Linked DNA regions of Daphnia pulex. The protein of the gene in region 2 interacts with the protein of the main gene of each other region in a pairwise test. Links are inferred from orthologs where the notes say so. Each region holds a gene or a part of one and is shown on either strand. Other genes may lie near its edges.

Region 1 (4,351 bases), on a different chromosome or scaffold from region 2:
GACTCTTTATTTTTTGGACCAGCCGCCGTTCCCAGGGGAATTTCTAACGTACAGAGTTTTACAGCGTGTAACAAGAAGACCAGTGAAAACAATTTCCGTGGTGATCGCCCCCCACCCGCCCGACCCTTTTTGGTCTCGCGTCGATTTGATTTGTCCGCCGCAAATAGAAATTAGATTTTACCAATGACTTTTCCCATTTTATTGACTTGCGTGAACGAATTCGTCGCGTACCTTTTTTTTATTTTCACTGGCGCGATGTCGTACCAATGCGGAAAGTTAATTGCATTACATTTGAAAAGTCTGCAGCACCCAACACTTTCTGCACGATGATGGAATTTAAATATTTGACTTTACACTCAGATATTTCGGCATAATTCAGTTAACGGCAAACACAAGTTGCACATTATTCCGTTTCCTTCCCTTTTTTCCCCGTGTGTGTGTGTGCGCCAACTTTTTCAACTTTAGCTACTTTGTGCGGATTGATTGAAACGTTAAGTCGGAATTTGGTTTCGAAATGAAAATGAATAAATACGTACACACTTTACACAAAAGACACGTTTTGGGGCGCAGTTGAATAGATCCCATTATTCGTACTACAATAATAGCTTTCATTTGATGATATTTTCTCATTGAAACATCTCACTTTCGTTTTTGATGTTACATCTCCAAGGCGGATGTATAAAGTGAAAGTTACAAAATCAAGAATTTCCCATAGTGTGCGAGTTTACTCTAGCCTTTTGAAAAGGATGTAGATTTTCTATTAGTTTGGTGGCTAGACTTCTTTTATAAAAAAAAACCCCAACTTTACCCACAGGGGTGCCCTGTAACAATGGTCGAATTTATTTCCGGTCTGAGAGTTGGTACGAATTTATAACATTGGCAACCAATATAGCCCACGCATATATAGGATGTCTTTGAGAGAAGACATGTGTATAGTTTAGCAGCAGCAGCAGCAGCAAGGTCAACAACATTCCGTCTCGCACTGAAGCGTGTCAAGCATAACGCCGAGCCTTTGCAATTACGCCAAATAACATTCGCCACTCTAGCGCAATATCATTTCTATTCAGGGCTGATGGTCTCTCCATATATATAATAAAACCCGAAACTCATATGGACTGACGGTATATAGAAAAGCTTAGAGCTTATACTCATCATTCTTGACGTCTACTGTGCTGCATACATACTACTGCGACGCTGGGACGGCCATATGACAACTTGTATCGGAGTTGATCCGTCCCTGACGGTGTGTGTGTGTGTACCACCGCATTGCTCAATGACTCCCGATTTTGAAAGTCTAGAAAAAGAATTACGGTAAAAGAAGGAGAGAAAAAAAAAAGTCAACTTATTTTATTTTTTGAGGATTCGAAATAGTAAGAAGGTTGCGCTATACCCGGTCAATATACGTAGAGAGAGAAAAGGGCTTCTTCCTCCTCTCCGCAATGTGCATGTGGCGCCTCTAGTCGGGCCCCGCCTCTTTTCCCACTCTCTCTCTTCCTCCGAGCATTCGGCTCAGTTGGCTGTCGTCTGTTGTGCTTGGTGAACGTCCCCCGTCGCTGCTCGTTGTGGTACCGCCTTTGCTCTCTCTCCTGCCCCGTCGTCCAGGATAACTTAGTTTTTTTCCCCGACAACTCTCTATTTCATCCAATAATATCCACTATGGTAAGTACTTCCACGTCGGCATCCTCTCCCAACCGGCACACGAAAATTCCGCCATTTTTAGTGCCTAGCCTACACTTGACGGAAATATAGATTTTATGACTGGAGAAGAGTCGGGTGGGTCGGGGGGAGGGGGAAGTAAAATCAAACGACCTTTTTCTTTTTTTTTTTCTTTTTTCCTATTTTCTTCTCAGATAGTTGTCGCTTTTGACATTGCCGGCTCGTTGTACTGAAACAGGGGGCAATTTGGCCGTCATCGCCCTCGAAATGTCGAATGCTTCTTTCTTTTCTAATTTTGGAGTAGCTCGTAACAGCTTGCTGCTGCACACGTCAATTTAAGCTCGGCACACAACCAGACTTGAAGCTCTCAAACAATATGGTTGCACACTGACCAGACAAGGCCAGTAGTAAAGAGAAAGTTGGTACTGCTAGATTTATTCAGGGCAAATTTACACAGTCTGGTTTGAGCAATGTTAATACCAATCAAGGCTCTCTCTTTATTACTCATGTTGAAATGTCTTGGAATTCTCAAGACAATTATATTAACCAGAAACATTTGTACCTCTACAGGCTGACCAGTTGACAGAAGAACAGATTGCTGAGTTCAAGGAAGCCTTCTCCTTGTTTGACAAAGATGGTGACGGCACCATCACCACCAAAGAGTTGGGAACTGTCATGAGGTCGCTTGGACAGAACCCCACTGAAGCTGAACTCCAGGACATGATCAATGAAGTTGATGCTGATGGTACACACATTATTCAATTTTTCTAATTTATTGCAACTCCAATAGATTATCAAGTATTCTGACAAGTTTGTTTTTGCTGCTTAAGTGGCTTGACTGCTTGATTCTTGGCAGTCAAAAGACTTCCTGAAATATCTGCTCTCTGCTCGCAGAACTTTTCTTGAATGAGAATACTGGCTGCATGTTTTCAATATCAATGAAAATTGTTTTGAACCACGTTCATTTCTTATTGTTCATTTTGTTTCTAATCATACAGAAATCTAATGTAGTTCTTATCATTCTAATCCAAAGGTAACGGAACAATCGACTTCCCCGAGTTTCTGACGATGATGGCTCGCAAAATGAAAGATACCGACAGCGAGGAAGAGATTCGAGAAGCCTTCCGTGTGTTTGACAAGGACGGCAATGGTTTCATTTCAGCTGCTGAGCTCCGGCACGTCATGACCAATCTAGGAGAAAAGTTGACCGACGAAGAAGTCGATGAAATGATTCGCGAAGCTGACATCGACGGAGACGGCCAAGTTAACTATGAAGGTAAAAACTATGATATGTCATGCTCACCTGCATCCAATTTTCTTTTATCGCAGTCGACATCGTCTGTCCGCCTGTTAAACCCTTAGATTTTTAACTAAGCCCTGCATTTACAAATAGTCAGATATCCACATTTTTAGGGAGGTTCTTGCATGCACGTGCGGGTCCCATACTTTCCCAGATGGACCAAAAAATAATGTGGAATATGGAAGTAGAAATATTAATTTAAAAAGCTGCTTTTGGTTCCATGTGTCTAGAAACTATCAAAGACGCACCTTTAATATTCTGTTGGTACACAGACGCATAATTTCTAGACTCTGTGACAAATGTCAATGTGACAACGTAACTCAATTATAAATTTTCTATTTAACAACCATGGCTTAACCTAATCCGATTTTAATCTGATTTTGGAGGCATTCACAAACAGTTTTGGTGTTAGAAACATGATGATGCATCGATTTTAAACCGAAATTAGCGCGTTACCTCTAAAATATTCATCGTCTTTCGTCGTAAAGATTCAGTCCAACCTGGTCCTTTAATATGTGACCTGAATTCCCAAGACGTTTTAAAATTTGATAGTCGATGCAGGACAACTCCTATTTTCCCCCACTTTTGTCTAGTTTATAGTGGAATCGATGATACTAACACGATTTTTCTTATCTTTGCAGAATTCGTGACCATGATGACCTCGAAATGAATAAATCCTGCGGTGTCGTGCCCCTTCCCCAGTGAGCCGTGTGTAGCGTGGACGTGGTTGTGTTTACCGAAACAACAATCAACAACAAAACGTACCATACTTTTCAAAGCAACTGTTTGTAAGACTACAACAACACCCGGCTGACGATACGCAAAACAAGAAAAAGAAAAAAAAAAAAAGAAAATAAGCCAGTTGTCATTGATCTTTCGAGGGCGGCATCCATTTTGTGAAGGGAAAATAACATCACCAGATTTCTGTTTCAAATAGTTTTTTTTTTCCTTTTTTTTTTGCTTTTTTAAAAATATTTTGTGTGTAAAAAAAAACTAACGTCAACGTTACTGTCTAAAAACACTTTGGTTCCCATGCATATAAGCTGCGCTCGTCCAGTGTAGTGTTGTGAACTGCCGTGCTGCTCGGGGATGGAATACTGGACCAAGTTAATTTAAAACAGAATACGAATCGGCAGATTAAGAAAAGAAAAAAAAACATAACATGGGGAATTATTTGTCTTAAAAAAATAAGTGATTTTTTCGTCAGCTGTAGAAGAAATTCGATACATTCACCATCAACCAGAACCCTTCCTCTCGTTTTTACCCTTTCGTTCATATAAAAAAAAACTTGTTTGGTTCAACCTTCATCGTTTGTGTCTAGTTTTGCTCTTTTTCATCCCTTAAATTTTCGTTGTTTTTGAACCATCTGTACACAAAATCGAGCAACGGCTGAGC
Region 2 (4,572 bases):
TTGTTCCAACTTGAAAATGTGTCGGACGAAGAATTGCTGCAGATTCTCGTTGGCGTAGTTGATGCAAAACTGTTCGAAACTTTATTCGATCCAAAAACACAAATTAGATTCCGCCATTTCAACTAGTGTCCAGTCAATTCTTTAATACCTGTTGATGCTGAAATTTTCGAAACCAAAAATGTCCAGGACTCCGATGGAGCTCGTGTCCATTTCGTCGGATTTGCGGATGGCACAGTTCAACTTGGTAACAATCCAGATGAAGAGTCGCCCGTAAATACCTTTAGCAAAAGCATCTCGAACATCTACAGCTTGCACTTTGGATAACCTCGATACCTGCAAATACAATTCAATTATCTCTGTCAAATGGGAATTCAATTTCAATATTAACTGACCACTGAATCTCCCTGGGCGAAAATGGTTTTAGTGGTAAGGGCGTCAACCATCTCTCGAGGATCAACACCCAGCAACTTGGAGACGCGAATAGCGTTGGAAGGATCTGGAATTTCACTAGCGTCCATATTGCCTGGACAAAGGGAAGAATGGCGAGAATGTTTCCAACGTTAATATTTTGTTTACCGAGTCGTGAACAAAATGTTAAATGAACTTCTTACTGATGACAACTCCTTTGAAGGAAACGTTTCCCAGGTGCAAAAGAGCGGCCAGAACTCGAAGAATGTCGGAAATTTCCGGCTCAGTAAAGAGCAGGACTTTCATGGCCGATCGGATTTCGGCAAATTCATTGGCGTCGTTCCTTCCCTGGCACGTCGTGCTGTTGCCCTGTAACATGTTAAAAAACCCAATTTTGAATAACGCATTCCACTATATAACAAATACAATGGGAATAAATTGAACTTGTATATACCCCAGTGAGGTATTTGTATTGGCTGGCATCCTGCAAATCGAATTTCTGCTTGTCTTCTTTGGTCATGCCGGCCAGCATGCAATAAAAGATGTGGTAGTTCCTCTCGCCAGGATTCTGGGCCACAATGCGCGATTTCTCCAGCAGGTACTGCTCGATATTGGCTCCTTCGATTGTGCCGTGTTTGTTGAAGCTGATGTCGATGTACTTGCCGAAACGAGACGAGTTGTCATTCCGCACAGTTTTGGCGTTTCCGAAGGCTAATTAACCAAATCAAATGACGTCATTTCATACTTTAAGGGGAATTATTTTAATAAATACCTTCCAAGATGGGATTAGCTTCAAGGATTTGCTGCTCGATCCACGAATGTTTCCCGCTAATGGCCGCCAGGTATTGCAAAATCAATTTGGTACTTTCAGTTTTACCAGCGCCAGACTCACCGCTGATAACGCAATAAGAAAAGAAATAAATGATTAATCTCGGGTAACCCAGGTGTGCGCTGAGAATTGAGAACATCAAGAAACAACCAAGACGAAATGGAATTTCGACCGTAATTTTATGTAATCTATTAAACAATGTACAAGTCTCACCTGATAACGATGCACTGATCCTGTCGAAAGCGTTTCATTTGAGAGTAGCAATTATCGCCGATGGCGAAAATGTGCGGAGGCAATTCGCCGATTTTCCGCTCCCTGTACATTTTAATTTGCTCGGCCGTGTAAATGGGCAGAATCTGGTAGGGATTGACGGCCACCAGAATCGAACCGGTGTAAGTCTGTTACCAAAAAATCAAATCAACAATTGATCATCTCATAAAAATAAATCAATGAAATGAGTCTATGACGTACGTATATGATGCTTTCATTGTAGCGAATGTGCAGATTGCGCAAGATACCAGCCTCGTGCAAATCACCCAGTGAAATCATATCCTGGACGCCCTGAATGGACGTCGGATGCATGGCTTTGATGCGTCGTTCCGGCGTCAGCCATTGTTCCTGCGCAATTCAATTTAAAAAATGTGACACAAAATTGTGAATGACACTTTTAAGCAAATAAATACACAAGAAGGAGGAGGGGAAAACCAATTTGACGTTGTGACGTTCTAAATTGCTCTTATCTGTGTGGCTTAGATCGAGACTTGCGGTCACCAACGCATTTCGAAACGGTTTGAAACAAAAGGTGGGGTGCTGTTGCCTCACCATTTCGTGCTGACGGCTGATGGGGAAAAATAAAAGACAAAAAGGTGACATAAGACTTACTTTGCCGTCGTCGTCGACGACCTGGATCCGTTTGCCCTCGGCCGAAACGACCCGGGCCCCGATCGCCACATCGAATTCTCGTTTGGTGCTGGGCTCGATCCAGACATAGTCGCCCTAATAGAAATGAAATTAATTTCCAAATTGATTATCATATTAAACGAGCAAGTGTCACAACATTTTGTTATATTTTTCCATCGAAATTGGAACGAATCTCCACGGGGGGTGGACTTGGTTCACAAAGAAAAAAAACAGACAAAAATGAAGTTGTAACGGGATTGTGGACGAAGCAGAGCGGAGGATTGTCGTGCAATAAGAATGGGACATTGACATGATCATTGGCCCGTATGTCCACCTTCTGTTTGGCAAGGGGAAAACCGTGCTGACCTCGAAATAACAACAAAACACATGGGCACTGGGCAGTTTGGAAAGTTGGACGCGGCAACAAGTGCCCACCAGTTCTAGGGAAAATTAGGAACTCACGTAGGTAAGAATCTGAGTCGACGAGCCATCGCCTTCTTCCGACATCTTTTCTTCCAGCCGCCAACGTTAATCTCGACTTGACAAATAATGGCGACAACACAGAGAGACCATGGACGATCGTGACTTGATTGAACTACAATCAACGTATGCCCTTAATTTCCAAAATCAAAACTTTCACTCTCCCGAATAATCAGAAACTTGAGAATTCAACCGACGTCAAACCTTCAAACTCGATGCGAACAAACTGTTTGATGTGATAATGGCGAGCAGGGAGAGGCCAGCACACCGTCTTATCTCTACTTCCCAAATGATAAGGAAAAAAATGAAAATGACTCAAAGTTCACGTGATCAATTGGCATTCATTAACTGACGTCTAGTCCAAACACACATTGCGTATCACAAGGATTGGGGAAAAAATCCCCCCAACGAAAAAAACATTCCTTGTTTGATTACATTCTCTTTTATTTTTCCACTTATTGCTTGGCTACCGCCCTGAACAGTCAGCTGTTTTCTCAGTGTCCACTTCTTTTTCTTTTTCTTAGTAGATATTTGGAAACACTCGCAGAGCCCAAAAGGTATACTGTATACGTAATAATAATAAGAAAAGAACAGCAGGTGGATGGCCGCAAGAGTCTAAAGCACGTACGCCTTGCAACGAAAAGAGATTCCAACAACCGCCTTTGAATGAGTTGGCAGCCACACTGAGAGTCGCAGCTAGGGGAAAAATATATATAAAACATTAAGTTACAGCTATATACTATACTCGCTGAATAGATTCAGATTCCCTCTCTGTGTTCTTCAGCCAGCAGTTTTACCTCCGGTTCTTTTCTTTTTTTTCAGTTTTCTCGACTTTTAGTTCCGCGTCGTTGCATCTTTCAGAATACGTTGTCCTTAATCGTTAAACGTTCATTGGCGGTAGACGACACATGTGTGTAGAGACACACACACGCACTCCCTCATCTCGTGTGTGTGTGTGTGTATAGCATTAGCTGCGATATTGTTTTCCGATTCTTTTTCACGGTGGTAAATGACGATGACGACCTCCTATATACTATACACTGCGGTCGCACCATCCAAGAGAAAATACCCAGACTGTTGCCGAACCCGTTATCTCCTTCAGTACATGTTTTTGAACCTTCTTCCGTCAACTGACTTTTGTGGGTGTCTCTTCTTCTTCTTCTTCTTCTTCTTCTAGTCCATGCGCTATTACACAATATGGCCCTGGAAGAACAATATAACCAAAGAAAAGGCAACAACATCTTGGTGGTGGAGGTCTCACTTCTCTTGTGTGACTCTTGTGGTGTAACCTAAACACATAACAGCAGATGTGTGTACCGGAAAAAGAAGAAAAAAAATCATCACTGCGCGACCCAATTGCGTCACTTTTTTCTGTCTGTCTTTGTTGTTTCGTTCTGGGTTTCACAGTTGGATTTGTTTTTGTTTTTTCTCTCTCCTAAAAATGTTTTCCAACCCAAACAAAAATGTCTAACCCCCTTTCGCTTTATTAGGAATCATCAGTCGGCCGATATTTTAAAAACCGGACGTCCGCTCGCCCGCCATTCAAAACCGGAAATAAAACTTCCGTTTCGGATATATGAAAGGCGCGTTGTTGAGTTTCATCGGCTGTTTAATTTTACTGAATGTCTGGCTGCGGTCGACCAATGTATGTTACGTGTGTCGGGCGTTGGCTTTTTTTGCTGTTCATCTCTCAGTGGAGAAGAGAGCGCAGGTACACCATCACCGGGAGAGAGAGGGTCATTGACCAACAGGCAGCCAACAACAGCCGTGTGCTCAGCAGCCGCGTGATGAAGTAAATACATTTACACAAACACCCACGGCGGAGAAATGTCAATTTCAATAGCGGCCATGCCCATTATTCAACATTTCCATGACTGACATACGTTGCCTTTTCTTTCTTTCCTCCATGAACCAAGTAACAACAAGATGACTAGGAATTTTTTTAAAAAATGAAT

The links.
Region 1: the proteins of myosin-VIIa-like (region 2) and calmodulin interact in binary tests that used the Drosophila melanogaster proteins (3 or more experiments, as listed by UniProt). The link is inferred for Daphnia pulex from reciprocal best matches to the Drosophila melanogaster genes ck and Cam.

Annotation. Positions count from the first base shown.
Region 1 is NC_060018.1:7,623,707-7,628,057, forward strand, and holds the start of calmodulin, read left to right. Parts: upstream 1-1,414; 5' UTR 1,415-1,656; coding exon 1,657-1,659; intron 1,660-2,226; coding exon 2,227-2,401; intron 2,402-2,689; coding exon 2,690-2,932; intron 2,933-3,597; coding exon 3,598-3,626; 3' UTR 3,627-4,351. UniProt on the Drosophila melanogaster protein: Calmodulin mediates the control of a large number of enzymes, ion channels and other proteins by Ca(2+). Among the enzymes to be stimulated by the calmodulin-Ca(2+) complex are a number of protein kinases and phosphatases.
Region 2 is NC_060022.1:1,966,287-1,970,858, reverse strand, and holds the start of myosin-VIIa-like, read right to left. Parts: upstream 2,856-4,572; 5' UTR 2,645-2,855; coding exon 2,600-2,644; intron 2,234-2,599; coding exon 2,120-2,233; intron 1,856-2,119; coding exon 1,709-1,855; intron 1,636-1,708; coding exon 1,451-1,635; intron 1,303-1,450; coding exon 1,181-1,302; intron 1,120-1,180; coding exon 863-1,119; intron 778-862; coding exon 612-777; intron 524-611; coding exon 393-523; intron 334-392; coding exon 149-333; intron 80-148; coding exon 1-79. UniProt on the Drosophila melanogaster protein: Myosins are actin-based motor molecules with ATPase activity. Unconventional myosins serve in intracellular movements: can function in cells as a single-molecule cargo transporter.